7 linked regions of the Rattus norvegicus genome follow. The protein of the gene in region 6 interacts with the protein of the main gene of each other region in a pairwise test. Links are inferred from orthologs where the notes say so. Each region holds a gene or a part of one and is shown on either strand. Other genes may lie near its edges. The genes, in order: Ccdc146, Fam110a, Cnnm3, Exoc8, Synj2bp, Ushbp1 and Prc1.

Region 1 (3,859 bases), on a different chromosome or scaffold from region 6:
ACTCACATGGCTATTTGGCTTTTTTTCCCCTGCTGGTACTGCAGCTCCTTCTTCTTTCCTGAACCCCCTCCCATTCTCCCTGTGTCCTATCCCTCTTCTCCCCCACCCTCCACCTCTCAGTGTACTTCCCCTTGCTCAGTCATTGGCTACTGGCAATTTTATTGGAAGATCAAAAACCAATTGATGGCAAGGACCTTCAGCATCAGAACCACCCCCTACAGCATGTATTTCCCCATCTCTGAATACTTTGTTTTCTTCCTTGACTACCGAGATGTTCTAGAGTGCCAGGGAGGACACTGACTGCAGGGAACCAAGGAGTTGGCCTGGCCTGGCTGCCTTGAGAGGCACATGTCATAGGTTTTTCAGGATAGAGTCCACGGCTCCGGGGGCACAGGGAGAGGCTGTGCGCTCCCTCAGGCAGTAAAGACACACTTTGTGTTTCTCTGTATGTTCCTTGGAGATCAAGGAAACAGGGAAATTTGACAGGACAATTGATCTTAGGCATTAACATTATATACCCTGTAAAGTTTGCAAATGTCTTTGTATCCTGGCAACTACAATTGTATTGATCCTGGAAATTGCCACTAGATTCTATTTCTGATAAATGTATAAAACATCTGATTGGCCTCAGTGTTGCTGTGGCCCCTCCAGCCGGCCTATCAGGTAACCTGGACCCCTTAAGCAAGCATGGATGCTTACAACTAGCTGTCATAACTCTTACCTTTCTTGAGAGACAGCACTGCTCCTTAAAATTTCCAGCTCGTTTAATGACATTTTGAGCCTTTCTTTTATTTCGTTTACTTTCTGATAAGCTTTGTGAAGTAAGTTAACAAACTTGTTTCTTTCATTTCTGATTGCGTCATACAAGCCGGCAAATTCTTTGAGTCTGTGAAAACATGAGGCAGTTTTTAAAAATTGAAAAGTAAGTAACACCTTTCCCCCAAACAACTAAATCATGATTCTTTTTACCAAATTCTTTCTTTTTTTTTTACCTCCGATGAATTTCACGTTTTCTCTTCCTGTATAGCCTGATTTCAAGTTTCTTTGATTTGATTTCCTTAATAATGTCGCAGTATCTTCGCTGAAATGTAAAAATTCATGTGTGAAATTCAGAAAAAAAAATAAAAAAGACAACCCAAGAACAACAACCAGAAAGCTAGGCATGATGGCCCACGTCTGTAACACCAGCATCTAGGAAACTGAGGCGGTAGGATCGTAATGAATTCAGGGTCAGCCTTGTGCTGCATAGGAAGACTCTATCTCAAAAATTCAAGACCACCACTAACAAAAGCCACAGTATAAGAGTACGCATGGAGTCTGTCAATTCTGCCTAACTTGTGTAGATGAGAGGAACAGGAGATTCCTGAGCGCTCCCTGGACAGCGGGAGTGATTCCCATCGACTACGGCTAGAGCATACTTGAGATTTCACAAGAACTGGGGAGGATAAGAGAGCCCCACAGACAGGGTGGGGGGACTACTGGGGAGGAGTGACTTAAGCCTACACCACCCAGCCAGTCTAGCACTGTGCTTACAGAGGTCAATGGAGAGGATTCACAGGAAGTTTGACCTGAACCCTCTGGCATTTTGTGAGCCACAGAGGCAATGGTTTTAAAGTGTAGTTCTGCTCATTTGTTTAGTGGGTGTGTAGTTCTGCTCATTTGTTTAGTGGGTGTATTTTCCTTTATAAGAGGCTTCATGTTGAGACCAGCTGTAAAACTATACATAAATACATTAAAAAGAAAACAGCTATACCTTCAAAAATCATATATATGTATGTATAATACATACATACTTATATATACATATGTATGTACATTCACCACTTTATACTAGTAGGCACTAGTGATGTTCTTCACATAGAAAGTGCCCTGTGGGTGTTTCTCTGGGATAGGAAGCACTTGGCGATGGAGTGTCTGTAGGCAGGAGTCCAGGGAGGAGTAGTTTCAGTCACCCTCCATCAAGGGCAGGCAAAGCAAAGTCATTTGGCCTTGTGCCGCCAAGTCAGTGTGGGTACACAGCGATTTCATTTTGTATAGTTTTCAGTGGCAATGAAAGTCCCCAGCAGGTGACCGTGCAGACAAGAAGGCTCTGGAGTAAGATGAAGCGTCACCTACGCTGTCTTGAGTGTGACAGCAACGCCAGTGTGAATCTCCACCTTGGTCACCTTATATCTCTTTTAAAAGAGAGATGTAGACATGACATAAAATAGTAAGATTTAACGCCTCTTTGTGGAAATACAGGTAACTACAAATAGTGTTTCGTACGGTAATTCCCAATAATGAAACACTCAAGGGACAAACTGTTTTCTTTTATGATGTCCATATTTCAAAAGGGAGAATTGTCCCATGTTTTAATATAAATTACCCCATTCAGTAATGAAATTCAGCTACCGTGGAGTAGTCATGCATAGATAACACATGGATCAGGTATTGGGAGCTATTAGAATGTGACTGCTTTGTAAACAGACCAGCTCTCTTCTACCTCTGGTAGACCTAACATTTCTGAGGAGAAAAGAGGGGACGTTTTCTAACTGGGAAATCTCACAGGGATGGACTCTTCCCAGCCATCAGCCGGTGCTTCTGAGAGCAGTGCTCTGGACTGACCCCGGCCCCGACCCTGACTTTGGTGGCAATGACCTTCTCAGACCTTGGCTGCTCCCCTCAGTCGTCCTCTGCTCTTCAGCTCATGTCTGCCCAGTTTCTGGAAGGCTGTGGTCTTTCTCATCTGTTTTCTACGAGCCCAATTATCCCATGGCTCCATAGGGCTCTTGTAACAGATACCAGACTGTTTGAGGTGGGTCGAATGCCCTCACCATCTTCCCTCCACGGCTCTGCTTCATCTGACCTCCGTTCTCTTAGGGTCTTACTTCTCAGGTGTGAGTGTGTCTAATTAAACAGTGAAAGTGGGGTCTGAATGGCTGGCTAATTGCTGGGGGTCTGTGTGACTAAAGTGTTCCCAGTTTTTTTGCTACAGAATCTATTTCATCAATGCTATGTAGGTGTGACCTCTTTCTAGGCAGTGAGAAAACCCCATCCCCCTGTAAGCACTCAGAACAAGAACCGAGATTACACTTATGCACAGCCCATGCCTAGGTCTCGTGACAAATGCGTAAGCTCTGCTTTAGTAATAGCTCATACCATATTCTTTTAAAAAGATTATTATCGTTTTTTTGAAACTCAATCTTACAATGTCTCTTGGGCTAAACTTTAACTTGCTGTCGTCCTGTGTCAACTGCCTCTTGATCGAGTGTCACAGACACACATACTTCTATTGTTTGTTTGGCAAGAGATCAAAGCTCGCACGGGCAAGCACTCTGGCATTGAACTGTATCCTGGCCTTTATTTACTTTAAACAAAGGACTTCTAGACACAATCCTTTTGTGGAATAACTGAGTCTAGTTTTTTTTTTTTTGTTTTGTTTTTTTGGTTCTTTTTTTCGGAGCTGGGGACCGAACCCAGGGCCTTGCGCTTCCTAGATAAGCGCTCTACCACTGAGCTAAATCCCCAGCCCCCTGAGTCTAGTTTTAAAATGTTAGCTTCTGCTGTGTGTGTGTGTGTGTGTGTGTGTGTGTGTGTGTGTGTGTGTGTGTGTGTATGTGCGCGCGCGCACGCGTGCACGCGCATGTACACGTATGCTTGCTTTATGATTGCTGCCTGTGGCCCTTTGCAGGAGTCTGGGGTGATCCTGGGATGAAGCCGCAGCTAAGAGCATCGGGCACTGGTCCATGGGATGCTGTCTGATTACTCGTCCAATGCTCCGATCCTAAGTTGCCACCTTGGAATCTGCGGCTCTGTGACTTGCAGATTCTCTCTGTGGCTCATGGCCACCAGGGACACTCACTTCATTCTTACTGAAGTT
Region 2 (4,617 bases), on a different chromosome or scaffold from region 6:
AGCAGACTTCTAAACACTCATTTCAAAGAACCTACAGTGTTCGAACACTCATCCACAGTGTGCATGCTGGCAGAAACGCTCGCATGGAGTCCCCAGCAGTCATTAGTCACCACAGCCGAGGGCGTGCACAATGCAAGTGCCCACCAATGAACGAATGGGTAAAGAGACGTAACCACACACGTCCAGTCGGCTATTCGGTCTTTAAGAGGGAGAGCTGACTGATGTGCTATAGTAGGAATGGAACATGAAGACGGTAAGCTGAGTCCAGGCAGACAGTGACTGCATGCTTCTGTGTATAGAGTCAAAACACCAGAACGGGGTAGGGTGGCAGTGCGGGGGGCGGGGGGGAGTGAGAGTGGGAAATGACTGGTAAAGTTAGGGCGAGGGAGATGACTTGGGGTAAAAGTACTTGCCATGCAAGCCTAGTGATCCGAGTTCAGTCCCCTGGCCCCACAGTGGAATGGGAGAACTGACTCCTCTAAGTGTCTTCTCGAGTGCCTGCTGTAGCATATGTATCCATGAAATAAAAGCAGAAATCCCTCATTTCGCAGAGTGGAGGGAAATCAGAGCTCACACTGGTAAAGTTCTCAGCCCGGGACAAGGGTTCCAAGCCCAGGCAGTTGTGTGTCCCCTCTTCCCAGTAGATTTCTAGGGTTGATCATTTTATGATAGTTTATCCGCCCCACCTGCTTTTCTGTCCTGGCTCAGGTTTGGTAGCCAGGGAGGCCTCTGGCTGCTGCAGAAGAGGATCAAGAAGGTTCCGGACAGTGGGGAAGAGCCAACACAGCTGTCCAGGTCAGACACCCGACCGGGCATTCTCCAGGGCAGGCCAGGTTCCAAGCTATTTCTGGAGTTTTCACCAGGCTCATGCCCTGGCCTGCCCAGGAGTCAGCCTTGCTCAGAGTAGCTTTGCACAAATCTCAGGAAGAGAGTTACAAGTGGGCCGCCATGGGAGGGGCAGGGATGCCTAGGACAGTGAGCTCCTGCATGAATCCTTCCCCCAAACACTCTCCACTAACAAAGTCTGGGGCTCAGTTTGCACCCTGACAAGATGGGAACAAAGGCAGACTTGCAGTGAAGGAGAGAGGGAGAGAGGGAGAAAGACTAACAAACAAGGCCTTAGGGAAGGGCCTGACACTGAAGGGAAGGTGAGGCTTGAATTAGGCCTGTGGCCACACCCACTTCCTGTCCTACAGTGCCTTCTGCCTTGGCTTGAACTCACAGCTCAGAATGTGAAGAAACTTGCCCAAACTCACAAAGCCAATGACAAACCACAGGTAGGGCAGTGACCTCATAACTTTCTGCAAATGTAATCACTGTCTGTGGCTTCTCAATTAGTTGACCCACAGTCCACGATTAGGATTGACTGCGATGCCCATCGTGCTGTGTATATAATTCCCACCCAGACCCTTTGCTCAGTAATCCACGTTCCTCTTGGTGCCGCATGAGTATCTAAGGAGTTTCTGATTATTTCCCATCAGTCCCTACTGATGGCCACTCTGTGTCTGTCCACAGCACCTGTCATTTTGCATAGAGTGAGGTAGCTGGATGGGGGAGTGAGTGTGTGTGTGTGTGTGTGTGTGTGTGTGTGTGTGTGTGTGTGTGTGTGTGTATTAACAGTGCCTATGCTGGCTCTGCTGGCCAGAGTCCACCTGAGTGACACCACCCTATCCTGCTCCACCCCCCCCCCCAGTACAATACACACCAAATGGCCAACAGATGTTGGCTTTGATCATCTTGAGTCTGCAAGTTTGGGGCACCCTGATAATTTGTGCCCGTGTTAAGCATCTCACGTGCCTGACACATTCCACTGGGGAAGATAATAAACCGCCTAATAAGATACCTCGTGCATAATATGGAACAGACGCTACTGAGAAAAGCAGGACACTCAGGGAGGGACCAGGCTACAGGAAGCTTGACGATGTGGAAAGAAATGAGGCAGCGGTATAACTCATCTAGTAGACGCTCGCTTAGCAGAAACCAAGCCCTGGGTTCTATCCTGAAAAGGCATAAAACTGGTGTGCAGGTGGCACACGCTTGTCATCAGAGGACGCTGATTTAGGAAGATGGAGAGTTCAAGACCAGCCTGGTATAAATAGTAAGAATGAGGCCAGCTAGGGCCATACAAAAGTTAGGGTGGGGAGCATGACACAAACACAGATGGACAAACACAGATGGACAAACACAGCTCCTCCAGGGCCAGAATGAGGCTCAGAGAAAGGGTAGTTCCCCTCAGGAGAGATCCTTCATCGAATGGGCGATTCCCTGTATCAAGAACTGAAGACGATTGCATAGTTAAGTCTGTGACTTTGAGCAAGAGCCTCAACTTCTCAGAACCTCAGATTCCCCACCTACGAAAGAAGATCAACAGCAGGAGAGTAGATAAAAGTACAGCCTAAATTAGATGCTCCACTTGGGAGGGCCTGACCCTGCACCCAACTCTAAAGTCCAATTCCAGCAACTCTGGCTTAGAGGCACCTCCAATGCATACAAGCGCAGGCGGGCGGGCGCGCACAGACCCACATGACTTCCAGAGCCTTTGGATCTGTAGTCCTAGGGAATCCACCCTGCCCCGCCCCTTCCCCCCAAGGAGGGCCCTCAAAGCGGGAAGCCCTGGAACTCCAGACTCTTTAGGCAGAAAGCTTCCAATGGGGAGGGAAAGACTATATTCTGAAGGGGAACTCCAAGGGCCGGTAGGGCAGGGTTGCCTAGTCAGGAGATCCCCTGAGCCATGTCCTCCCAATAGGCCCCTGAAAGAGTAAGCCGGTGGGGTACTCTGATTTGCTAGGAGCGGGGGCTGCAAGATGGGACAGTGGAACAACCTGGATTCTCTGCTGGCCCCCCTGGGCTGGACACTAGACATGAGCTCTCCTCTGTCGACCCCCTATGCTGAAACACTTGCCCGGGTTGATGCGTGGACACTGCCTAAGGACCCCCGCCCCCTTACCCCATGCTCACCCGCAGCCCACGCCCGGAGGAATCCCGCTCCTCGCTGGCTGCAGAGGCTGACAGCTGATGGTCCCCGCGGACCTGAGGAGGTCACAGCGTGTGGAGACCGGTCGGCTCTTCCGAGCGAGAGGTCCCGGCCGTCCCACAATCCCGCCGGGAGACCGTCCCCAGGGCCCAGAGGAAAGGGAAGTGAGCCCGCCGTCCCCGTCGCTGCAATGGTTCGCCCCGGACTTCCTGATTGGCCGGTCGCTTCCGTTCGAACGGCGCGCCAGCCGGGTTGCCAGGCAACATCAGGAGCGGCAGATGCAACCCAGCGGCTGCTGCCCTGAGCCCAGCTGGTCGCTCGGCCTTCCGGCTGCCCAGGCCTTGGCAGATCTTTCTTCTCCTCTTCCAGCTGGATTTCCTCGGTCTCCAGCTGCAAGCAAGGGTTGCTAGTCCCAAATTTGTTTGGTTTTGCACAGACCCTAGTACCAACATTTTTGAGTTTTGAGGCAGGGCCTTGACACATAACTGGCCGCAGCCTCCGTGATACTAGGATTTTAGGTCTATACCACACCTGACCCTCTCTTCACTTTTTTTTCTTTTTGAGACAGGGTCTCACTAAGTTGCCCAGGCTGACCTTAAATTCATGCTTTTGTCTCAAATTTGCTATATCTGCCTGCCTCAGTACATCTACCCATGAGTTGGTATTAAATGCCCAGCCACCAAGCTGGACCCTACTCCCAACTCAGCAGCTACCTCTTTGTGTGTTTTCCCACAATCCTCTTTCCCTGTCTGTTCCCCTAACTGCAATGATAAATCAGTTTTTAAATGCACACATCAGTAGTTCCCACGGTGCTTATCAAAACCAGATCAGTTATAGTATAGAAGTCCGTCCTGGGAAGAAGCTGAATTGAGTTTTCTACATAATTCTTCTCAGTACTCATGACCTAGCTCCGAGGTACCTACCTTCAATTGTCTGAACTTTCCAGTTGGAAATATTATACAGTAACTTACAACGATGCGGTTAAATAACATTTAAGAACAATGGAAGAATGTTAAGGAAGTGTCATGTTTTAAACACAGTTCAAATCACTCCGTACAACACAAATAGATAATATATAACCATGCTCTTCATGTAATAAACCTATCCCATTTACAATAACACCAACTAATTTTTACATTTAAATTATACTTTTATTCATCTTTGAGAATTTCATACACACACACAATGTATTTTAATCATATTTACTTTACCCTCCTCCCCTTAACTCCTACATCCACCCTCACTTCCTCCTTTTTTGTTTTTTTATACGCCACCGAGTCTAATCTGCCCATCTATTCGTGGCAGTAGGGCCATCCACTGAACCATGATCAAACGGTCAAGGGCTGCAACCTTGTAAAAACACGGACTTTCTTTTCTCCAGAAACATTCAGCTGTTCCTAGCTCCTCAGTTCAGGGTAGGGGCTCATAAGCCTCTCCCGTCTCTGTGCTGCAATGTTAACTGGCTTGATCTTGTGCAGACAACCACAGCTGCTGTGGTTCACAAGCACAGTGGCCCTGCAGCACCGGTAAGAGTCTGTTTTGCTCTGTTCCTTTCTGCTCGCTGGCTCTTACGCTCCTTAAGTCTTGATTCGATACAGATTTGACACTTGTGGCAGAGCACTCCACAAACTCTTGTTCCCATC
Region 3 (3,859 bases), on a different chromosome or scaffold from region 6:
TGTGGTACTTACCTGCTGTCTCTCTGGATTTGTCACCAAGGAGCCTGGTCTGGCTGCCCGGGATGGCCTGGAGCTCAGCGTTCTCTGGAGATGGAGGTAAGCTCTGGGCTCGGGTAGCCAGGAGTGCATTAAGGTACTGCAGCCGTGTGACCTAGAGGACACGAGAATGGAGAGATTACCTAGCAGATGTAGACAGACAGACAGACAGACAGCAGGGTTCCCGCCTCTGGCCTCTGACAGGCGGGACTTTAAACTGGTGAAAGGCAAAGGGGTTTTGGTTTTGGGCCTAGTGTTAGGATCACCAATAGAGAGAGCAGATGTAAGGTTTCCACACAGGCCCAGGTCCCAACATCCAGGGTCACAGGAGGCCCCACCACTTAGGGTGTGAGCACACCTTCTCAAGCAGAGTTCACTTTCCGTCCTTACACTGACCAGCTAGACTAGCCCCTTGGGGGCACAAAGGCAGTTGAAGGAGCACCAATACGCAGCCCAGACAGTCACCTTAATGAGCTGCAGGTCAGAAAGGGCCCTCACAGTGTAGTCAGGACAGTACGTGCAGGAGCGGGTACTGTCCGCTGGTTCAGGCTGCAAGTCATGGCGGATGAGCTGGCGTGAAGACACTGGGGACTGATGAGCTACGGAAGAAATAGTAAAAGGCGGTGGACGCCAACAGAACAACAGCACAGCCCTCAGACCTACCCATCAAGTCACCTTTGAGAGGGGACAGCGGGAACATGGAAGGTGGGGGAGCCACCCTGGAGCGTTTGCAGGGATCGAGTGAGCAACCGAGATAAACAAGGCAGAAATGCAGCAGCTCTGCCCTACACTACCTAGTGACGGGCAGCTTGCTGTGGGCAGACCCAGACCTGCCGCAGCACCAGAGTTGAGGGTTCCAAAGCCACGGCTTACCTGAAGATGGAGCTGTCAGGGCGGACACGCCATAGTATGTGAAGGCCCCGTTCTCGAACTTCAGGCCCTCTTTCCCGATTTCCACCTCGACCCTGCCCTGAGAAGACGACGGGGGTGGACAGGTTATTTCCCCCATCACAGGAGAGAATACAGAGAAGCCCTCAGTGTTTAAGGGTGTATGTCTGCATCACTCTCTCAGGCTTCAGGCCTGGGCAACCAGAGTTACCTGCAGGATGAGAATGAAGTAATCTACTGGCTGGCTGCGCTGGTACAAATAATGGTGTGTGGCCAAGCGGTTGCTCTCGTCAAACTTCACCTCCTGGTTGACACTGGGATGCTTCAGCAGGTGCAGCAAGACTTTCTCAGAGATTCGCAATGGGCTGAACACATCCACCTCTGCCCCACGGTGGGAGAAAGGGACAGTGTCCACTGGGGCCCAAATGGCCTGTCATCACACCTGCCTCCTGGGCTCTCCCAGTGGCCCCTGGGCTGCGGCAATCAATCCACACAAGAGAGCCAAGAGGACATATGCATGAGCCAGATGAGGTTCCCAGAACACGCCTTACCAGGACACACCACTAGCTCTGCAGAGGGAAGCAGATGCTCGTCCAGAGCCTCCAGCTCGCTAGGAGCCTGGTGTCTGGCCTGGGTGGTTTCTTGACCCTCTGGGTGGTGAGACCGGGGGCCAAGGACCACCCTTCACCCTCACCTCGGGAAAGGAAGCGCTGGGTGGCCAGGAGCAGCTGAGGCGAGATTTTTACTTTATATTCATCATCAGACACCTTGAATAAGGAGAATTCCTCCTTCCGCTTGAGAGGGGCGCCCAGGGTGACGGCCTTCTTCTTCACCTTTGTGTCTGCTGGGGTAGTGAACAGATGGCGTGAGTGGCTGTCAGCACCCAACCATGAACACAGACAGACAAATGCTTCGGCTGCCTATCCCCTTCTTCCCAGGGTTCAGGGATTTCAGGGAGGATATTGCCAGGACCCTACAGACACAACCTTGGAACTGCTTCCTTCAAGACAGTAATCCTAGTGCCCAGGACAGAGGAGGCGACAGCTCACATTGGGGCCACGCCCAAGAGGAAGCCTGGCTCTCCTGCTGTGAGGACCACAGAAGGGAATACGTGCTTGACCATCACCCGCAGCACCTAAGGGCTTCACCATACCAGGGCAGCGGCTACCCTGGTGACCTGCATCAGCCCAGGTACAGAACTGAAAGCACAGACATGGCAGTGCAGGGTCCAAAGTGGCTACGTGAGGCTCCAGCTACAGAAGGTCCCACAACCTGCTTGGTAGTGAATAATTTGTTTGTTTGTTTTGGAGACAAGGTCTATTATGTAGCCCGGGTTGGCTGGGAATTTGAGAGACTCACCTGCCATTGCTTGGCTAGGATTAAAGGCATGTGGATGGTCTTTTAAAACCTGTGTGTTGAAGGTGATCAAATTCAGCTCCATTCAGGCTAGATGAATACTCTACTACTGAGCTTCAAATCCAATTCAAAGAGTGTATCAAGGAGCGAATGTGGGCTGGCAAAGGCAGAAGGCATAGGCCTGCCAACAGCAGAAGCTTCTTCCAGTGATGGAGGGCTGTCTGCAGAGCCCTCTGTTCACAGAGGGTCACAAAATTCAACCTCAGGTTGGTCTGCCTGGCTTGTATAGAGGGACAACACTAGCCCATACCAGGGCAGGGGAGGTCTGGTCTGGCTGGAGCTCCAACCAGTTTTCAGCAGCATTAAGACCCACAGGCCTCTGACGGAGACGCCCTTCAGGCTACTGGAAGGGCTTTGAGAGAAAAGCAGTTGTCAAACTCACAGTAGTCTTCAGACTCATCCAGGATCTCAGACCTGATGATCTCCTCGATGACGTCCTCCAGGGTGACCAGGCCCAGCACCTCATAGAAGGGATCGCCCTCGCCCTCATTGTTCACCTTCTGAACGATGGCCAGGTGGGACTTGCCTGTAGGAGGGATACTTATTTGCAGCCTGCAGGGACCCCTGACAACTGCTCAGTCTGCTGAGTCAGGGGCACTGGGTCGGATCGGAGTGCCTACCGGGTTTCTAAATTCTTTCTAGTCCTTGCTGCTAGTGCTGGCGCTGGTCCAAGCTAGCAGGCAGGTGCCATTTCCACAAGGGCTGATCTGCCATGGGATACAAACTCATGAGGCCAGGCAGGAAAGGCCACAAGTGCAGCATTTGAGTTTTGAATTTTCAAACCCCAAGGCCACTCAGAGAGGCCTCCACTCAGCTCCCTCCTTGCAAGAGTGAGTCCCTTTGGGTACTACTAACAGGAAGGATTAACCTCTCCTGTGCTCCTGGACTTCCTTGAAAAAGGCTCACGATTCTGGGGCCTGCTGCGCCGGGATCAATCAGTAAGCAGGGGAAGGAAGCTCCCAGCCATGCGAACCTAAGACAAGGTGCGTGCAAAGGGACAGAAGGCCTTTCCAAGGCAGCAGGGGAACAGAAAGCAGGGAGGCTCTAGGGATTAACATTGTGTCCCCACTAGACAGGACTGAATACTCCCCAGGGCAGATATACAATCTGGCTTGGCCAGCTCCACAGAACCACGGCAGGTAATGACTGCCGTGCTGAAACAACCAGACCAAAGGCCCTAGAGTTCTCATTTTCATTAACAGGCTCAAATGCACTGCAGTTATTTGGAAGCTGGAAGACCCATCATGATGCATGCTCTGTGTGTGTGTGTGTGTGTGTGTGTGTGTGTGTGTGTGTGTGTGTGTGCGCGCGCGCGCTCGCGCACACGCTCTCATGCGCACACGCATGCTCTCTCCCTCTGCTGAGCACAGAAACCAGGGCCTCGTGGTTTCTCACTATTGCCAGCATTGACCTGTGCTTCAAGCCCCTTTGCTCTCTTCTAAAGTCATCATGTACGTGTACACACTGAGAAAAATCACATGCCAACACGCCTTTCAGAACTGAGGTCTCAGTCAACTCA
Region 4 (4,435 bases), on a different chromosome or scaffold from region 6:
GTAGGCAGTAGGCATGGAACACGCCAGTTTTCCGACTTTTGGATGCCTGTGGTTTATGAAAGCCTCCTTCCACACCACTACAAACACTGAAGAGTCTGGGGCCCACTTACTCAAATTTATCCCAAGCCAACTCATTTCTTCCCAATTTGGCTTGCTTCTTGAGTACATGACACAGGGGCGCTACACAGCAATGACCGTTCAGAAGCCATTTTGTTGAACTGGAATGCTTCACAACTTAAACCCTGTGGACTTGCATATTTTTCTAGGCAGCACAGAAGTGCAATGTTCCAGGATGTGCTACTGTGACAAGTGTGTTTCAGGTTAAAGAGTGACCTGAAATGCTGCTGTGACCATACACTCCTTAAAGAGTTTAAAAAAAAAAAAAAGCACAGTATGTGCTCTAATAATCCCTCTATGTGGGAGGGAGCACTTAACACATTATCTTTCTTCTTTTGACTGCATTTTTAAGAGGGCACTTTTATATGCTGTTTGTGTCTGAGGAATGTGTTGATATTGTGTAATGTGAATACAAACAATGCATCTGTAGTACATGTGTGTGTACAGACATACATACATACATACAGACAGACAGACAGACAGACAGACAGACGCACACACAGCATCGAACCAGAGCCTCAGACCACAGACGTGGTGCTCTCAGGATTCACCCGCAGGAGTCTCGATGCATTCCGAAGGTCCTGCAGCTGCTTGGCAGGCTTCCCCACACCTTCCTCAAACCTCCTCTCCACCACTGGGAGGACAGTGTCGTAAAGGAAGGATGCGTTCTGCCGGATGAAAGTCTTCTTCTCTGGGTCCTGCTCACAGCGCAGGCTGTAGTCCACATGCTGCACAGCAACCAGTATGACTTCCACCAGACTCTCCAGGAGCACCATGTGTAGCTCTGGGAAGTACAGTTTCAGTGCCTCCTCCAGGAAGCCCATGGTCTGCTTGGTGAAGGCTACCACAGTGTAGCTCAGGTTCACCCAGCAGTCATCCCCCGTATACTGCTCAAAGTTACTGACCCCGCAACTTCTCATCTCCTCCTTGAGCTTGCCCAGGGCCTCAGGAGTCATCAGGTTCATCCGACGCCACATCTCCTCCGAGTTTCGGTGCTTGGTGGCTTCAATGATAATCTCCTTGTAACTGAGCAAGGCCCCCTGGATGTCCTTCACCAGGAGGGCATGGATGATGAAGGTGAGATCCAGCCCAATCTCTCCCAGCTGCTGGCAGTGCTCCTTGGCTACCTTCACACACTCGGCAGCAGTGGACAGGCTCTCCTTGCTGTCAAAAACCTGCTTGCTGAAAGCATCCACGAACATGCCCATGGCAGACCTTGCCCAGACCACAAAGGCAGAGTAGCAGCCACTGTCCGTGCCTGCAAAGTCTGTCTCAAACTCCCGTGCAGTCTCTAGGAGGCTGGTAAAGAAGACATGGCACAGCTTGTGAATATAGAGCAGAGTGGCGCCCTCAATTCGAAGCTGGCGGATGGCAGTATGCACAGCTGCCGCCCTGTTCCTCAGAAACAGCTCACAAGCCTTAGTGCACTGGCCGAGACGGATCAGTTGAGACACTGCCCTTCGAGTAGCCTTAGGGCCACCTCTCAGAGAGCGATCCGGGGAGAGCTCAAACACAAGCACCTCGGTGAGCTGTCGCACTCGTTCATCCACTTTGGCCCTCAGCTCTTTCACAGAAGGTGGGCTGGGCTTATCTTCAAGATAGTGATTTAATTTGTCCAGCAAGTCCACGGCACCCTCAAAGTCCCTCTGCGCAATACAAACATCCAGGTCTTCCGGCAACTCCTGGATCCACTCCATGGAAAGGTCAACCTTTTCCTCCTCTGCCTCCGGGGTGGCCAGTTCCTCCTCGGCCTCATCCTCAAACGGGTTGCTGCCCTTGGAAGTGACCGGTGGTGGCGCACGCAAGGCGGCTGCCTCCTCCTGCTCCCGTCTCCTCTTGTCGCTGAGCGCCCTCTTGGTTTCCTCCAGCACTTCCAGCCACTCGCGTTTAATCTTGGCATTTTCCGCTTGAAAGATTCGGCTCTCAGGGAACATGAGCAGCTTGAACATGTCTTTCATAGGTGGATTGTCTTTGACGTTGACCACAGCCAGGCGGTCCAGTGGGTAGAGTGCGTTGTAGCGGTACATGCCTCGCCGTTGTGGTAGCCAAGTGGCCACCAGCAGACAGTCGTTCATGAGGAAGCCATGCACTCGCTGCAGCTGGGCCATATGGTCTGCCTCGTATTCCACCAGGTCCCCGTTGTACACAAGGTACTGACCTGGTGTCTCCAGCAGGTCCCTGCAGCCCTCCACCTTCTCCAGCAGCGTGGTGAGCGTTCGCTGCTTGCCCTCCTCTCCCGTCCCGGGGCCCTCGCGAGGGACTCCGGCCGGCCCCGGAAGAAAGCCCGCCTGGGCCGCCCCGCGCTCCCGCGGTCCCGCGCCCGCCGTGTCCTCACCCGTGGATGCGCCCGCGGCAGCGGCGGGCAGCAGTGCCAGCGGGATGCTCTCCAGACTGCTCTTCTGCTCCGTCAGCAGGTGGCTCAGCTGGTACATCTCGCTCTCCAGGTAGGAGATCTCGCGCGCCGTCTCGATGAACTGCCGGTAGTTCTGGTAGACGTTGCGCTTCAGGTTCTGCGCCGTCTCCTCCGCCAGCGCCTGCACCCGCTGTCGGTGCTCCTGCAGGTCGCGGTCGCCGTCCGACTGCTGCGACAGTTGCTTCACGTACAGCCGCGCCTCGAAGCCCCCCGACTCCAGCTGCCTCCGCAGGCGGCTCGCCCCGCTGTCCGACATGGCTGCCACCCGCCCTGCTCCCGCGGCCCGCAGTGGCTGTCACTCGCCGCCTCCCGGCCCCACCCGAGCCCGGTGGAGAAGCGGTAGAGGAAGCGGGGCGGGAGCAACACCCAAACGCCTGCGCCGGGGCCGAGCGCTGCATTGCGCCTGTGCCAAAGTCGAGACTCTCACACTGCGCCTGCGCCCGGGGCGGAGTGTCGACGACGCGCCTGCGCGGAAACGGCAGCGTCTTAAGGCGCGTGCGCGGACGGGCCAGTACGGAAGTCAGAGGAGGGTCGGGCACGGACCAGACTTGACGTGAGGCGCTGGACCTCGGCGGCGGTCTGGAGACAACTGGCTTCCTGAAGCCGTCCCTACCCCGAGCCCAGCGTTCCTAAGTCTGTGTCCGCGGGGCAGAGCCGAGCCACCTTCGGTTAGGCGTTCGAGGCGAGCCCGCGCGCCCTGACAGCGGGGCCGGGAGGTCTCGCGAGATCCGTACGCCTCACGAGCCCGACCGGCGTCTTGGGAGCGGCTGAAGTGAGAGTATCGGGATGGACGAGGATCTGGTGGTCGCGCTGCGGCTGCAGGAGGAGTGGGACGTGCAGGCGGCGCGGCGCGCGGCGGCGCGGGAGCCCCTATCGTTGGTGGACGCGTCCTGGGAGCTGGTGGACCCCACCCCGGACCTGCAGGCGCTCTTCCTGCAGTTTAACGATCGCTTCTTCTGGGGTCAGCTGGAGGCCGTGGAGGTGAAGTGGAGTGTGCGCATGACACTGTGAGTGCGCCCACGAACGGCTCGGAACGTAGGGAAGGGCAAGGGCGCTGAGTTGTCGTTGGTGTGTCCCCTCCTCGTGGCCCAACGGCTCTCAGAGATGTACCAGCAGGATCCCTCATCTACCCACTGAGTTTGAGAAATCCTGTTCTAGATAATAATCTGCCCTGCATATACACCGTCACATAGCAGCCTGAGCTGAAGCAGGCTGAGACGTAGCGTACTTCTAACTTCACATCGGCCCCGTGACAAGTCCCGGTGCGGAGCAGAGAGGATAACAGTGGGTGAGGGTGTGAGGGTGATCAAGTGTTATTAAAAAGCCCTCTATCAGGGACTTTCGTTGAACTGCCCAAGGATAAGGATTTGCTGGCTCTTTTTTTTTTTTTTTTTTTTTTGGAGACAGGGTCTCACTATGTATCTGTGGCTGCCCTGGAATTCACTCTGTAGACCAGGCTGGCCCGGAACTGGGAGATCCTCCTGCATCTGCCTCCCACGGACTAGGATGAAAGGCCTGCGCCACCATGCCAGGCGAGGGTTTGTTTTTTGTTCTGTCTCCTTTGTGCATTGGGTGAACCTAATCCATTGTCCGTGACTGTTTTCCAGGTGTGCTGGCATCTGCACCTATGAAGGGAGAGGAGGCATGTGCTCCATCCGTCTCAGTGAACCCTTGTTAAAACTCAGACCAAGAAAGGACCTTGTAGAGGTAGTCTTCGCATAAACTGGTTCCTCAACATTTAGATTTTTATTTTTCAATGATGTGTTCTTGATAGTAGCTCATACTATCTTCAACCACAAGATCCTCTGGTCTCTGCCTGAGGGCTTACAACAGTGCATCACCATTCCCGTCCAGGGTATTTTGTTGATTTTAAGAGACAGTCTCTATTCCTTAGATTGGCCCTGG
Region 5 (3,859 bases), on a different chromosome or scaffold from region 6:
TAGGTACTTTCGGCCTTTGTTCATAATGACTCACTGACTGTCCATGACTGTGTTTTAGCTTACCTCACGGTCTGAATTGTCAGTCTCTCCTCCCCACTAGACCATTTTCCTCTCCTTTCTTCTCTAATCTTTCTTTCTTCTTCATCCCTCTCTCCTTCACTCCTCCATGATTTTCTCAGGGCTGGGCTTCAACATCGTCGGTGGGACAGATCAACAGTATGTCTCCAATGACAGTGGCATCTACGTCAGCCGCATCAAAGAGGATGGGGCTGCGGCCCGGGATGGGCGGCTCCAGGAGGGTGATAAGATCCTCTCGGTGAGAAATGGCTTCGGCTCCCTTTGTTATACTTTGCTTCCTAGACCATATCTGACTCCTTCTGTGGCCTGCCTTTTTGGAAATGAAAATATTTAGATTATATCATTGAATAGGAAGAACATCAATCAGTCGTCCAACTTTACCACTAGGCTGGGAGGATAGTATTATTCTTGCTTGACAGGCCAGGCAAATTTGACGTAGTTCAAAAAGCACAAAGCAGGTAGGGGTGAAGGACTGGCTAGGAGGAAGGAGATTTAAGGTCCATCCACACTTTTCAAGTTTCTCTTGATAATTTTATCACTTCTCTTTTGTTGACTAAAACACTGAATTGTGCCTTTTCTTGGGAGACTGTCAGCCCTTAATAATGGTCTGAACTTTAAAAAGCAAGGTAAGGATTAAGTTTCTGCTTCCTTACCCATTATTAAGCCTTATAAATGAAGAACAGTTTGGATATCTGTCAATCGTGTTCTCATTTCATCCTGTTAATGTATCTTATGACATAGTAATCATGAATCTTACTATTTTTATGTATTTAATAATAGGAATTAATATTTTTTAGCTTTCCATATCTTAGTATAGTGCTCAACATAGGCTTAATAAATGAGCAAATCAGAAAATTAATTTAAAATAGAAAGGTTGACTAACAAATACAGTCATATGGGCTCATAGACCCTTTAAATTTTTTATTATTTTAAGTGTGTGTGTGTGTGTGTGTGTGTGTGTGTGTGTGTGTGTGTGTGTAGGTAGGTAGGTAGGTAGGTATGTGTGTTTGTAGGGTAAAATGTACACATGAGTGCTGGTGTCATGGAAGCCAGAGGCATGGGATCCTCCTGGAGCAAGAGTTACAGGAAGTTATGAGCTGCCTCATGTGGTTGCTGAAAACTGAACTTGCGTCCTCAGAAAGGTTGGTGCATGATTTCAACAGCTGAGCCCTCTCCTCAGCCCCAGACCTTTAGTCTCTCAGTCAGTTGAATCTTTCTAAAGTAAATCAGAATCCAGGTGTAATAAGACTTTTAAAACTCTTACATGTGGCTGTATTTTTTTAATTTCTGTTCTATCTCACTGGCAACAGTGTCATTAATTATACCATCATTTTTGGGCATTTGGGAATGGTTAGACCATGCTATAAAATCTTACAAATCAATTTTTTTGTGCTATTGTAGCTCAGCTTATTTTTACGAAAATAACACACATGATTGGTGTAAGGAATGGGACTTGCTATCTAGGATTCCCCGTGAGTTAGACTTTCTTCTAAGGGCTGTGCTCAAGTTAAAAGGAATTCGAAGAAGGGTGGGACTTTTCCCTGCAGAAGTGCTTCCAGTTTCCACATGTGCTGTGGATTGTGGCTCATGGTCTAAGAAAAAGCAATTATTTCCTACTTTGTCTTATAAAACTGAATAGGGCAAGAGGGCCAAACCGGTAAAAGGCTGAAGTAAGTGAATGAAGTGTAGATCAAGACAAAATTTGATTAAGAGTTAAGGATTATGTCAGATACTTGATTTAGAACTTCCACAAAATAGGACTATGTCTTTTAAAGATTTTATTTTAGTTTTGTTTTGTATTTTCTCTTTTGAGTTGCCTCTCAGAGTTCAGCTGATTAGTGATAAAAGCCATAGAGTTTAGTTGATTAGTAATAAACGTTGTATGTGTGAAGCCTTCGGATCCTTTCAGAGACCAGCTTGTGGGTACTTCTCTGCCATCCAACCCATTTGGTAGCAGTATGTGAAGGCAGAGATACAGATGAAAGATAAGAGTGTCTCCCTTTCTTTCATTTGACATGTGAGTAGTATTTGAGAGATCCTTAGGAAGACACACCACCAAGCATGGTGGCACACACCCATACAGTCCTCTAGTACTCAGGAAGTAGAGGCAGGAACGTTTGTGTTTAAGTTGTGAATTAGTTAGCAAGATCTTATTTCAAGAGAGAAATACACATAAATCAGAGAAGTAGCCATGAAACCATGCAAGTTAATTCAAGAATCTGAAGAATGTGTCTGACATACAAGTATAACACTGTGGATGGTGCTGTGTTAGTTCCTCTCACTGTTGGCCATGCTGCCACCTACTAAGCTTCATCTAAGCCCTCTCCATTAGTCTACAAGATAGGGAAACTTAAACGCCTTTGATATGAAAATGCTGACGAGGAATTTAGGAGTAGGTCTTTTCTACCTCTCTTAGAAGAAAGACATTGTAAAACTGCAAACCGAGTTTGCAATAGGACAGAAAGAAAAATTGTTAGTGGGTTGTTAAAATAAAAGTATAATGTGTCACAATATCTCAGAGCACTAGCACCTATACTCGAGTAAAAAAAGACTTGAAAAATAGTGGGTTTAGTATGGGGCTGAAGAGACAGCTATATTGTTAAAAAAAAGCTTTAAAGATGGATTATCTAAAAAAAATTATGAACAATTTATATGCACAAAACAGAACCTTCAGTGTAAAGCTGTTTAATATTAGGGTAGTGCTGTGAAATGAGTATAATCATGCCCATTTTGCAGCTAAGAAAACTGAGGCTTGATGAAGTCAGGTGGTTTACAAGTCATACAACTAGTGTTGGTAAACTAAAACTTTAACCTGTCTGAATTTGAATTACTTACTAATACTAATGCTAATACTAAAATTAACACTATATTGTCTTCCTAAAAGGTAAATGAGTAAGTAAGATTAATTACTCTAAAAAGGAAGTAAATAACTAGTAGATGATAGACATGGCCTTAGAGAAAACTGAAATTAACCTTTCTACCAAGGGTAGAATTAATGGTATAAGTCAGAATTTAAGAGAATGTATTAGATATAAGCTAGGACAAGGAACCTTATGTGGTCCATTTTCCCTAGAGAAACAAAATTACTAGGAGGTCTCAAGAGTTAAGAAAAGCCTTTGGTCCTGTGACAGCTCGTTTCCCCAATGTAGGGGAACGCCAGGGCGTGGTGGTGGGAGTGTGTGGGTGGGAGTGGGAGCGTCCTCATAGGAGCAGGGCAGGGAGGGGGGATGGGAAAGGGGGGGAAAGGGGATAAGATTTGAAATGTAAATACATAAAATATCCAAGAAAAAAAGTTTAAAAATTTCTTTGTTTTAAATTATAAAAAAGAGTTGAGAAAGAACCGGAGATTAGTGGTGGGTGGGTGGTAGAGAGAAATGTTAATGAAGAGGAAGGTAGATATCTAAAACCAATAGCTCATCTAGCTTTAAAACTTACAGCATGTGGGTATAAAATTAACTCAAATAAATCAGTTGCCTTCCTCTATACAAAAGAGAAACAAGCCGAGAAAGAAATTAGGGAAACGACACCCTTCATAATAGACCCAAATAATATAAAGTACCTCGGTGTGACTTTAACAAGCAAGTAAAAGATCTGTACAATAAGAACTTCAAGACACTGAAGAAGGAAATTGAAGAAGACCTCAGAAGATGGAAAGATCTCCCATGCTCATGGATTGGCAGGATTAATATAGTAAAAATGGCCATTTTACCAAAAGCGATCTACAGATTCAATGCAATCCCCATCAAAATACCAATCCAATTCTTCAAAGAGTTAGACAGAA
Region 6 (3,859 bases):
TAATAGCCCAGCTCTTAGGAGATGGAGGCAGGAGGAGTTCAAGGCCACATTCAGATACGTAGCAAGGTGGTGAGCCTTGATGGTAATAATGCCACTAGAGGAATTTGAATTTACTTGTGAGGTGTGCGCAGCTCAAACTGGGCACCAAGGCTGCACTGGCACTGAGGACTCTCTGCACAGAGACTAAGTCAGGAGCTCACAGCCATTAGTATAGACGTTCCTTACAAGTATACTGATAACCTTCCCAGGTTCACACAACTTGTCAAGAGTGCCATCTTTCTCTGGGGCTATGTGAAATCCTGTCTACTTCCTGTACCCCTCCTCTTTACTTCCTGGCTGCAATGATGGATTGACACCTCTGAAATCATGAGCTAATAAACCTAATAAATTTCTCTTCACTGTATTTTTTTCTCTTCTTTTTTTCGGAGCTGGGGACCGAACCCAGGGCCTTGCACTTGCTAGGCGAGCTCTCTACCACTGAGCTAAATCCCCAACCCCTGTATTTTTTTTTACCCAGTTTTAGAGGCTGAAGCTAGGGTCTACATTACTTGATGCTTTGTGTATGTGTGTGTTTGCTTTTGTATTCATTTCAGACAGGATCACTCTGTGTGGGCTAGCCTGGAACTACTCTAACTCTGTCTCCTGAGTGCTGAGATCAAAGACTGTCACCACACCTGGTGCCACTGAGTAACCGACTCCAGTCAGGCGTTGTATCAGCCAAACATGATGAGTGCAGAGCCAACCCTGAGCAGTGAATGATGATCCTAACCCCAATGCCCCATGTACAGCAGGCTTTGGGACATGCCCCCCATCACTCTCATGGACCAGCAACTCTTGTGCTTCCTGTGGGTACCTGGGCTGGGGTGTCTTTACATCCATGGCTACTTCCTTCTTCACCAGCAGCCTAGAGGCCTCCTTCTCAGCAGCCTGCAGGTCGCCATTGGTAGCTCCAACTCCAGCTCCTAGACCAGCTGTCTTCAGAGCAAGCAGCACCTCATACACCTCCTCACAGTCCTTGCTGTGGGATAGGATCTAAATGTTTCAACATTCAACCCCAACCCAGGCAGAGATAGGCAGATCTCTGTGAGTTCCAGGCCAGCCTGCTGTACATAGAGAGTTCCAGGCCAGCCTGGGCTACACAGTGAAACCCTGTCTCAAATAAATATATAACAAACTACAAAAGACACCTCCCACCCCTCATTCTTTATGGGTCAGAGTAACATGTCATTGTGAGGCAATGTCTGAAGGTCCTGTGTCCCTCTGTACATAAGGCATCCTGGCATGCAGCACCACCCCAGCCCCAGCAACCACCATCACTGGAAACAGGCACAGACCTATATTGTAGAGCCAGGTGCAGGGCTGTGGCCTCAGCCTCTCTCTTGCCCAGCTTAATGCTGAGGCTCTCACAGCGGCCCTTGTAGCCCTGGAGCACAGCCAGCAGGAGGCGGTTGAAGCACTTCAACTTCTCAATGTTCCTGCCTCCAAAGGTGGGCAACAGGGAAGGTGAGTGACACTCCAATCACCCAGAGCTGTTTTCTCCCCTTCCCAATCACAACCCAGTGGCAGGAGAAATTGTGTCCTTAAAAGCTCAGCAGCTATAATTCAGCTGCTCACCCCTGGAGCTGTCCCATCTGGTCTTCCATGAGGTACATCTCTGGGGATGGACGCTGTGTGGAAAGGCACCCAAAGCTCTGGGTGCTGGAGTCACTCCGAAGGCGTTGGAGAAAGGGGTGAGCCATGGGGGAGTCCTGCCAGGAAGACATGACTTGATTTATCTAACATCAAAAGCCCCAGAAGTGTTTTTCTCCCCTTTTTTGCAGGGCTGGGGGTGGAATCAGGGCCTTGGATCATATTACCAATCTGTTTCACCACTGAGGTACAACAACATCTTTGGTTTGTTTTGGGGAGGGTATTTGCATACACATGTGGAATGTATTATGCATGCGTGCATGCCTGTGTGTGTGTGTGTGTGTGTGTGTGTGTGTACCATGGCATGTGAATGGATGTCAGAGGACAACATATGGGAGTCAGTTCTCTCCTTTCACTTTGTGGGACCCAGGGGTTGAACCTGTATCAGCAGACTTGGCAACAGTTGCCCCAAGAAGCTGAGGCATCTCATCAATGATTTTATTTTTTCTTTAATATGGAGACAGGGTGTCACCACATTTACTGGTCATGATCCTTCTGGTCAGGCTCTTAAGCAATTGGGGTGACTGTGGGGTGACTGCTTTGAGCTACCAAGCTGGTAATTTAAGCTTTTTATTTTTTCTTTTAATTTTATGTATATGGGTGTTTGCCTTCACGTCTGTCTGTGCACATGCATGCCTAGTGCCTGTGGAGCCCTGAAGAAGGCATCAGATCTCCTAGAACAAGAGTTACAGATGATTGTGAGCTGCCATGTGGCTACAGAGAATTGAACCTGCGTATTCGATAAAAGCAGCTAGGACCCTAACCATTGAGCCATGGCTCCAAGTCCTATTTAGTTCTTTTCATATATTATAGGTTGTATTGACAGAGAAGCTCCTGAAGCAGGACGGTAAACAACTCCAAATAGTTTCAGGAAGTCCCTGAAACTGAGCAGAAACTGGACTAGGCCCCTCCCTGCCAAAATAAGGAAAGTCCCTTTGAGATTAGTGAACAAAGAAGCAAGCAAAGAAGACCCTGAGATAAGACCAGCTGTGTGAAGGAGGTTTAGACCAGAGTCACTAAGAAGGGACAACTTCCAACCTGCAGTGAGCTCCAGGTTCCCAGTTTTAGTGAGTTGTCACTCATGCTGTCACTCAGACTCTGGTGATGCAGCTGTCTTTGAATCATTTCTGTCCATCAACATGTACATAACTACAATCCTATATGTACCCATATTCATACCCATAATGTGTACCCATAATCCTATTTGTAACTCCAATAAAACTCATTGGTTCACTAAGTTGAACTTTAGTGGTGTCCGTATTTGATGTGTCATGGGCTCCCTATCTGTGGTCAGTTGATGTGTGTAGTGTCTCCCCAGGAAAAGTTTTGTCTTTTATTATGGGATCCCATAAAGCACAAATTGATATTTGCCCCTCACACTGGGAAAGCAGGGATCATCATGACATTCACTCAGAAGGCTTTATTCTTACCTGAGGTGCCCAGGGTCTCCTTTCTGCCCCAGAACTGCTGGAGTTGCTGTTTCTACGGCCTGCTCTGAGCATGGAGGGAGGCGGGGAGGCCTCCAGCTGCATCAGGGAATCCTCCAGCTCCTGTACCTGTCGGTGACAGGGGATCAGGCCTTGACTTCACATATTCAACCAATTCTCTACAGCAACCGGAACCCCCGTCAATGTGGCCTGGGACGGTTCCCAGCTGCCACAGAGCTCTCAACACTCAAGGCCTAACCAGGGGAGTGCACCTACTGGCAGGGTGATGGGGGAGGCAGAGTTTATTTTATTTTTTTAGGATTTATTTTTATTATTTTACTTGCATCGGCGTTTTCCCTGTATGTCTGTATGAGGTGTCAGGTCCCTTGGGAACTGGAGTTACAGAGAGTTGCCACATGGATGCTTGGAATCAAACCTGGATCTTCTGGAAGAGCAGCCAGTGCTCTAGACCGAAGAGCCAACTCTCTAGCCCTCCACTTTATTCCTTTCTAACTTTTTAGGAGACTGTTTCCCGGAGTCATTTATACTGCCCCAACTCAAGCCGTCTCCCACCTCAGCCTCGCAAGCAGCTGGGATTTCAAGTGTGCACCACCACACTCAGGAGAACTCATTTTTGTTATTGTGAGAAGCCTCTGAAAGCTAAGCGCTGAGCCACGCCCCTAGCCCCTCATTGGAGTATTCTACGCTGTCACTCTACCCTGAGCCACGCCCACAGGCTGACG
Region 7 (3,859 bases), on a different chromosome or scaffold from region 6:
GAGGCATACACAGAATTTCACGGAGCTCTTGATCTTGTTCTTGAAGTAGCTTAAGTTCCTGCTTTCTCTCCTTTTTCTGTTTTCTCATCAATTCTACTTGAGTGCGCAAATCTTTTTCTAATTGCAAGACAGTTATTTCTTTATCTTCCTGTGAAACGACATGATTATTAATAATAAAAGCCAAGGATGGGAAGCACTAAGAGAAACAGCGATTGACAAAGCAAGCACTTCAAGCTGGCGTGGCTATGCACACTTTAATCCTCGCTCTTGGGAGGTAGAGGCAGGGGGATCTCAGAGTTCAAGGCCAGCCTAGTCTTGACCGAAAGAGGGTCACCTAGGGTTTCTAGCAGGGAAAGTCTGTTTTTCTTTCTCTTGACTTGTAGTATGTGGCCAAGAAAGATCTCAAAGTCCTGATCTTTGCACCTCCTGTCTCAGGGGCTCAGGTTATTGGCATGGGTCCTATGCCCAACTTCCTTTTCCAATTTTTTTTCTTTAACAATGGCAAAATGAAGGGTTAGGGATTTAGCTCAGTGGTAGAGCACTTGCCTAGCAAGCGCAAGGCCCTGAGTTCGGTCCCCAGCTCTGGGGAAAAAAAAAAAAAGAGGATCAAATTATAACAATGGCAAAATGCCCAATTATCACCCTACATACAAATCTTTGCAGTTTGTCAGTGTATAGCAGTGGTCTATAACTTAGCAATAGATTTATTCCATGACATTTCATCTTTACAATGGGACAAAGGCAATACACACTCAGCACAATCTATATTTCAGGTACTAATTCAACCACAGTTTTTCACTTTCATACAGTACTAAAATTACACAAACAAAAAAGAAAATACTTTTTCTTTTCTGAGATGGTCTCACTGGCCTTGAATTTGGTATCCTCCTGTCTGGTTTCCACATGCCGAGTATACAGGCCTGCACTGTCACACCAACCAAAATCATGTGTATGCAACCTTTGACAGTATGACACAAAATTGACGTCTACGTAGTTCATACCTGAGGACAGGCTGTCAAGATGGCTTGGAGGGTAAAGGTTTGCTGTCAAGCCTGACAATCTGCTCCTCACAGCCCACAGGGTAAAGGAAAGAAACAACTCCTGTAAGATGTTCTCTGACCCGTGCACACCTATAATCCCAGCACTTGGTAGGCAGAGGCAGGTGGACCTGAGTTTGAAGCCAGCCTGGTCTACAGAATGAGTTCCAGGACAGCCAGGGCTACACAGAGAAACCCTGTCTCAAAAAAGTCAAACAAACTAAAAAGCAAAACCAAAACAAACCAAAAAACCCCAAAGCTCTCGTAGCACATGTGTGTGTGTGGTGAAGGGTTGCCATGACATGCATAGGACAGTAACAGAATGGCATTTCACATGGCTTCTGGGGACTGAACTCAGGCCCTCTGGTTTTTATGACAATCACCCACTGACTCATCTTGCTGGCCAATACCAGAGACTAAAACTAGGACATGACGCTAGTAAGACCCCCTAAGGCTGAACTGCATCCACAGTGGTTTAGATTACAATTCTGTATTAATCCACAGGTTAAACGTGTGTGTACGATGGGGCCAAACTCTAGGTTAAGGTGTTTTGTGCAATGTGTACAACAACCAAGTGTAAACTACAATTTCCCATAACTTAACTGTACAATTAAAAAAAATGTATGGTGGCTTTATGAGGATGTGGTCTAAGTGAAGAAGCAATTGTGAATACTGCTGTGCAATCCTACAGTCACTCACCTCCAGAACTCATTTCTTCTTGCAAAACTCAACTGCTCATTTGGCAAAAGGTCCTCCTTTATGCTCCCACCCACTCCAGTCCACTCCACTTCTCGGCTCTATGAATCTGACTGTCTTAGGTACTAGGGGACTTTGTAAGAGGGTACAACGACCAGAAAAGGCTTGGTTAGCTGGAGATGGTTTATCTAGTTCTTACTAGCTGAAATACATTAAAATCCTATGAACACCACTTATCAATGTCAACTTAGTAGATCCTTCTCTACTGCAGTGGATAAATAAGGGACTAACTAGAGTGACTAGTGATTCTATGTCCTACAAATAAATACAGTTTCATTTAGAATTGTTAAAAACTGCTGTATGTTTAAGGAAGATAGATGTACCAGTGTGCACCAATTTCTCATGTACCTATTTTGACATTGAAAATTTAAAAACAAAAGACTGAACTGAAGAGAAACTTTATGTAAAAATCAGTGTCATTTATGGTAATTCCAAGAGACTGCTCTGACGTCATGATCTCTTGAATGCTCTTGACTGCCAGGGATGAATCACCCTTCCCCTTTAAAGGCAGTCTGAGTGCCAGAACTACTCCTCTACAGATGCCGGTGCTCAGTCAGTCCTGTTACGGTAAACAGGACATGAGAACCAGTCACCACCACCTTTCCCTGCTCCTCTGTGCCCAACTTTTCAGGTCCTATTCTGGTTGGTTCAGGGTATGCAGCTTTCGAGCATGGAAAAGAACAAAACAGTTGAATTTGGCTGCTTCCCTTTCTTTGTTATCACTAGGTACCCTCGCCTCCTGGTCCCACTCACTGTCAGGGTGGACGGGAGCATGGACACGTATATGAACAGATGGATCAACTCTGGGGGGTCACTCCCTAGGACTGTCCACTTTGCTATTGGTTTTAAAATTTATAAGGGTATAAGTTTTTCTCCTGCATGTGTCTTAAGTGTGCTACATGTGGACCTGATACCCACTGGGGCCAGAAGAGGGTGCTGGAGCTTGGAGTTCAGGACAGTTGTAAGACACCACGTGTGCTGGGGACTGAATCTGGCCCCTGTGCATGAGTGAGTGTTCTTAACTGCTGAGCCATTTCTCCAGCCCTCTGCCTTGTTTTTTATCTTTGTTTTCTTTTTGGAGATAACTTTTTTATTGGTTTGAAGCTTATGGATCAGGCTAGGCTGGCTAGCCAGTTAATCTTGAGAGATCAATCTATCTCTGACCCCCAGCAGTAAGGTTACAAGCATATGCTACCATAGCTGGCTTTTCCCCATGGCTATGAGGACTGGACTCAGTTCTCAAAGCTGTGAAGAGAGGACTTTACCAACTAACCCATTTCTTCCATGTTTCCCCAGCCCTTTCCACACAAACATCTGTGCCTCCATTTTCCTCAAAGTTAATTTAAAAACATTATTAAGCTCTATAAAACAGAAAAATGGCAAGGAGTTTTGATAACCTAATATTAGCTGCTTCACTTCAACATCTCATGTCTAGTCCTTCTCCTATAAGAAAGCTTTAGGGGTTGGGGATTTAGCTCAGTGGTAGTGCGCTTGCCTAGCAAGGGCAAGGCCCTGGGTTCGGTCCCCAGCTCCGAAAAAAAAAAAAGAAAGCTTTGGATTTGCAGTCCTAAATGAAACCAATCTCCCAAGCACTACGTTCTGCCACATACCTCAAATGGCTTGACTTGTAGCTCGCTGCACAGGGTGCTCAGCTCCTTCCGACAGATGGATATGCTCTTGAGAAGCCTTTCCCGCAGGTTCTCCTCCTCAGCAATCATTTTATCCAGAAGATCCTACAGGCGAGAAGACAGCTGATAAAGACTTGGAGCCAATGAGAACAAAACAATAAAAACATTGCAGAAAACCCACAAAATCAACTAGCATTAATATCAAAACCCTCATAATTTCAAATTTTACAGAAAGGGCTTTAAATAAAATCAGGACCAGCCCGTGATACTTTAGTATAAAGGCCCCGGAGTCAATCCCCTCTATCAGATATGGGCTCTGGCAATTGAGCTCAGGTCCAGGCTCATATCATGGAGTTGCAGTGGGTACTTTACCTGCTAAGTTACCCACCAATAATGTCCATCCCCACTGTTGTCCCTGCAGAGGAAGCAGTGTGAATC

The links.
Region 1: the proteins of Ushbp1 (region 6) and Ccdc146 interact in binary tests that used the Homo sapiens proteins (3 or more experiments, as listed by UniProt). The two-hybrid records come from large-scale screens. The link is inferred for Rattus norvegicus from reciprocal best matches to the Homo sapiens genes USHBP1 and CCDC146.
Region 2: the proteins of Ushbp1 (region 6) and Fam110a interact in binary tests that used the Homo sapiens proteins (3 or more experiments, as listed by UniProt). The two-hybrid records come from large-scale screens. The link is inferred for Rattus norvegicus from reciprocal best matches to the Homo sapiens genes USHBP1 and FAM110A.
Region 3: the proteins of Ushbp1 (region 6) and Cnnm3 interact in binary tests that used the Homo sapiens proteins (3 or more experiments, as listed by UniProt). The two-hybrid records come from large-scale screens. The link is inferred for Rattus norvegicus from reciprocal best matches to the Homo sapiens genes USHBP1 and CNNM3.
Region 4: the proteins of Ushbp1 (region 6) and Exoc8 interact in binary tests that used the Homo sapiens proteins (3 or more experiments, as listed by UniProt). The two-hybrid records come from large-scale screens. The link is inferred for Rattus norvegicus from reciprocal best matches to the Homo sapiens genes USHBP1 and EXOC8.
Region 5: the proteins of Ushbp1 (region 6) and Synj2bp interact in binary tests that used the Homo sapiens proteins (3 or more experiments, as listed by UniProt). The two-hybrid records come from large-scale screens. The link is inferred for Rattus norvegicus from reciprocal best matches to the Homo sapiens genes USHBP1 and SYNJ2BP.
Region 7: the proteins of Ushbp1 (region 6) and Prc1 interact in a two-hybrid assay, tested with the Homo sapiens proteins (2 studies listed by BioGRID and IntAct). The link is inferred for Rattus norvegicus from reciprocal best matches to the Homo sapiens genes USHBP1 and PRC1.

Annotation. Positions count from the first base shown.
Region 1 is NC_086022.1:14,673,556-14,677,414, reverse strand, and holds part of Ccdc146 (coiled-coil domain-containing protein 146), read right to left. Parts: intron 1,082-3,859; coding exon 993-1,081; intron 887-992; coding exon 722-886; intron 1-721. UniProt on the Homo sapiens protein: Essential for sperm flagellum biogenesis and male fertility.
Region 2 is NC_086021.1:160,942,254-160,946,870, forward strand, and holds the start of Fam110a (protein FAM110A), read right to left. Parts: upstream 3,153-4,617; 5' UTR 2,959-3,152; exon of another isoform or gene 709-2,958; intron 1-708.
Region 3 is NC_086027.1:46,257,645-46,261,503, reverse strand, and holds part of Cnnm3 (metal transporter CNNM3 precursor), read right to left. Parts: intron 2,867-3,859; coding exon 2,723-2,866; intron 1,769-2,722; coding exon 1,619-1,768; intron 1,494-1,618; coding exon of another isoform or gene 1,408-1,493; exon of another isoform or gene 1,306-1,407; coding exon 1,136-1,305; intron 1,007-1,135; coding exon 910-1,006; intron 636-909; coding exon 502-635; intron 152-501; coding exon 13-151; intron 1-12. UniProt on the Homo sapiens protein: Probable metal transporter.
Region 4 is NC_086037.1:69,751,937-69,756,371, forward strand, and holds Exoc8 (exocyst complex component 8), read right to left. Parts: upstream 2,941-4,435; 5' UTR 2,787-2,940; coding exon 636-2,786; 3' UTR 451-635; downstream 1-450. Other genes in the region: DNA-dependent metalloprotease SPRTN, read left to right, coding at 3,317-3,537, 4,138-4,237. UniProt on the Homo sapiens protein: Component of the exocyst complex involved in the docking of exocytic vesicles with fusion sites on the plasma membrane.
Region 5 is NC_086024.1:106,934,378-106,938,236, reverse strand, and holds part of Synj2bp (synaptojanin-2-binding protein), read left to right. Parts: intron 1-179; coding exon 180-316; intron 317-3,859. UniProt on the Homo sapiens protein: Regulates endocytosis of activin type 2 receptor kinases through the Ral/RALBP1-dependent pathway and may be involved in suppression of activin-induced signal transduction.
Region 6 is NC_086034.1:18,095,300-18,099,158, forward strand, and holds part of Ushbp1 (harmonin-binding protein USHBP1), read right to left. Parts: intron 3,246-3,859; coding exon 3,120-3,245; intron 1,749-3,119; coding exon 1,615-1,748; intron 1,476-1,614; coding exon 1,335-1,475; intron 1,019-1,334; coding exon 854-1,018; intron 1-853.
Region 7 is NC_086019.1:143,665,825-143,669,683, reverse strand, and holds part of Prc1 (protein regulator of cytokinesis 1), read right to left. Parts: intron 3,527-3,859; coding exon 3,404-3,526; intron 149-3,403; coding exon 1-148. UniProt on the Homo sapiens protein: Key regulator of cytokinesis that cross-links antiparrallel microtubules at an average distance of 35 nM. Essential for controlling the spatiotemporal formation of the midzone and successful cytokinesis.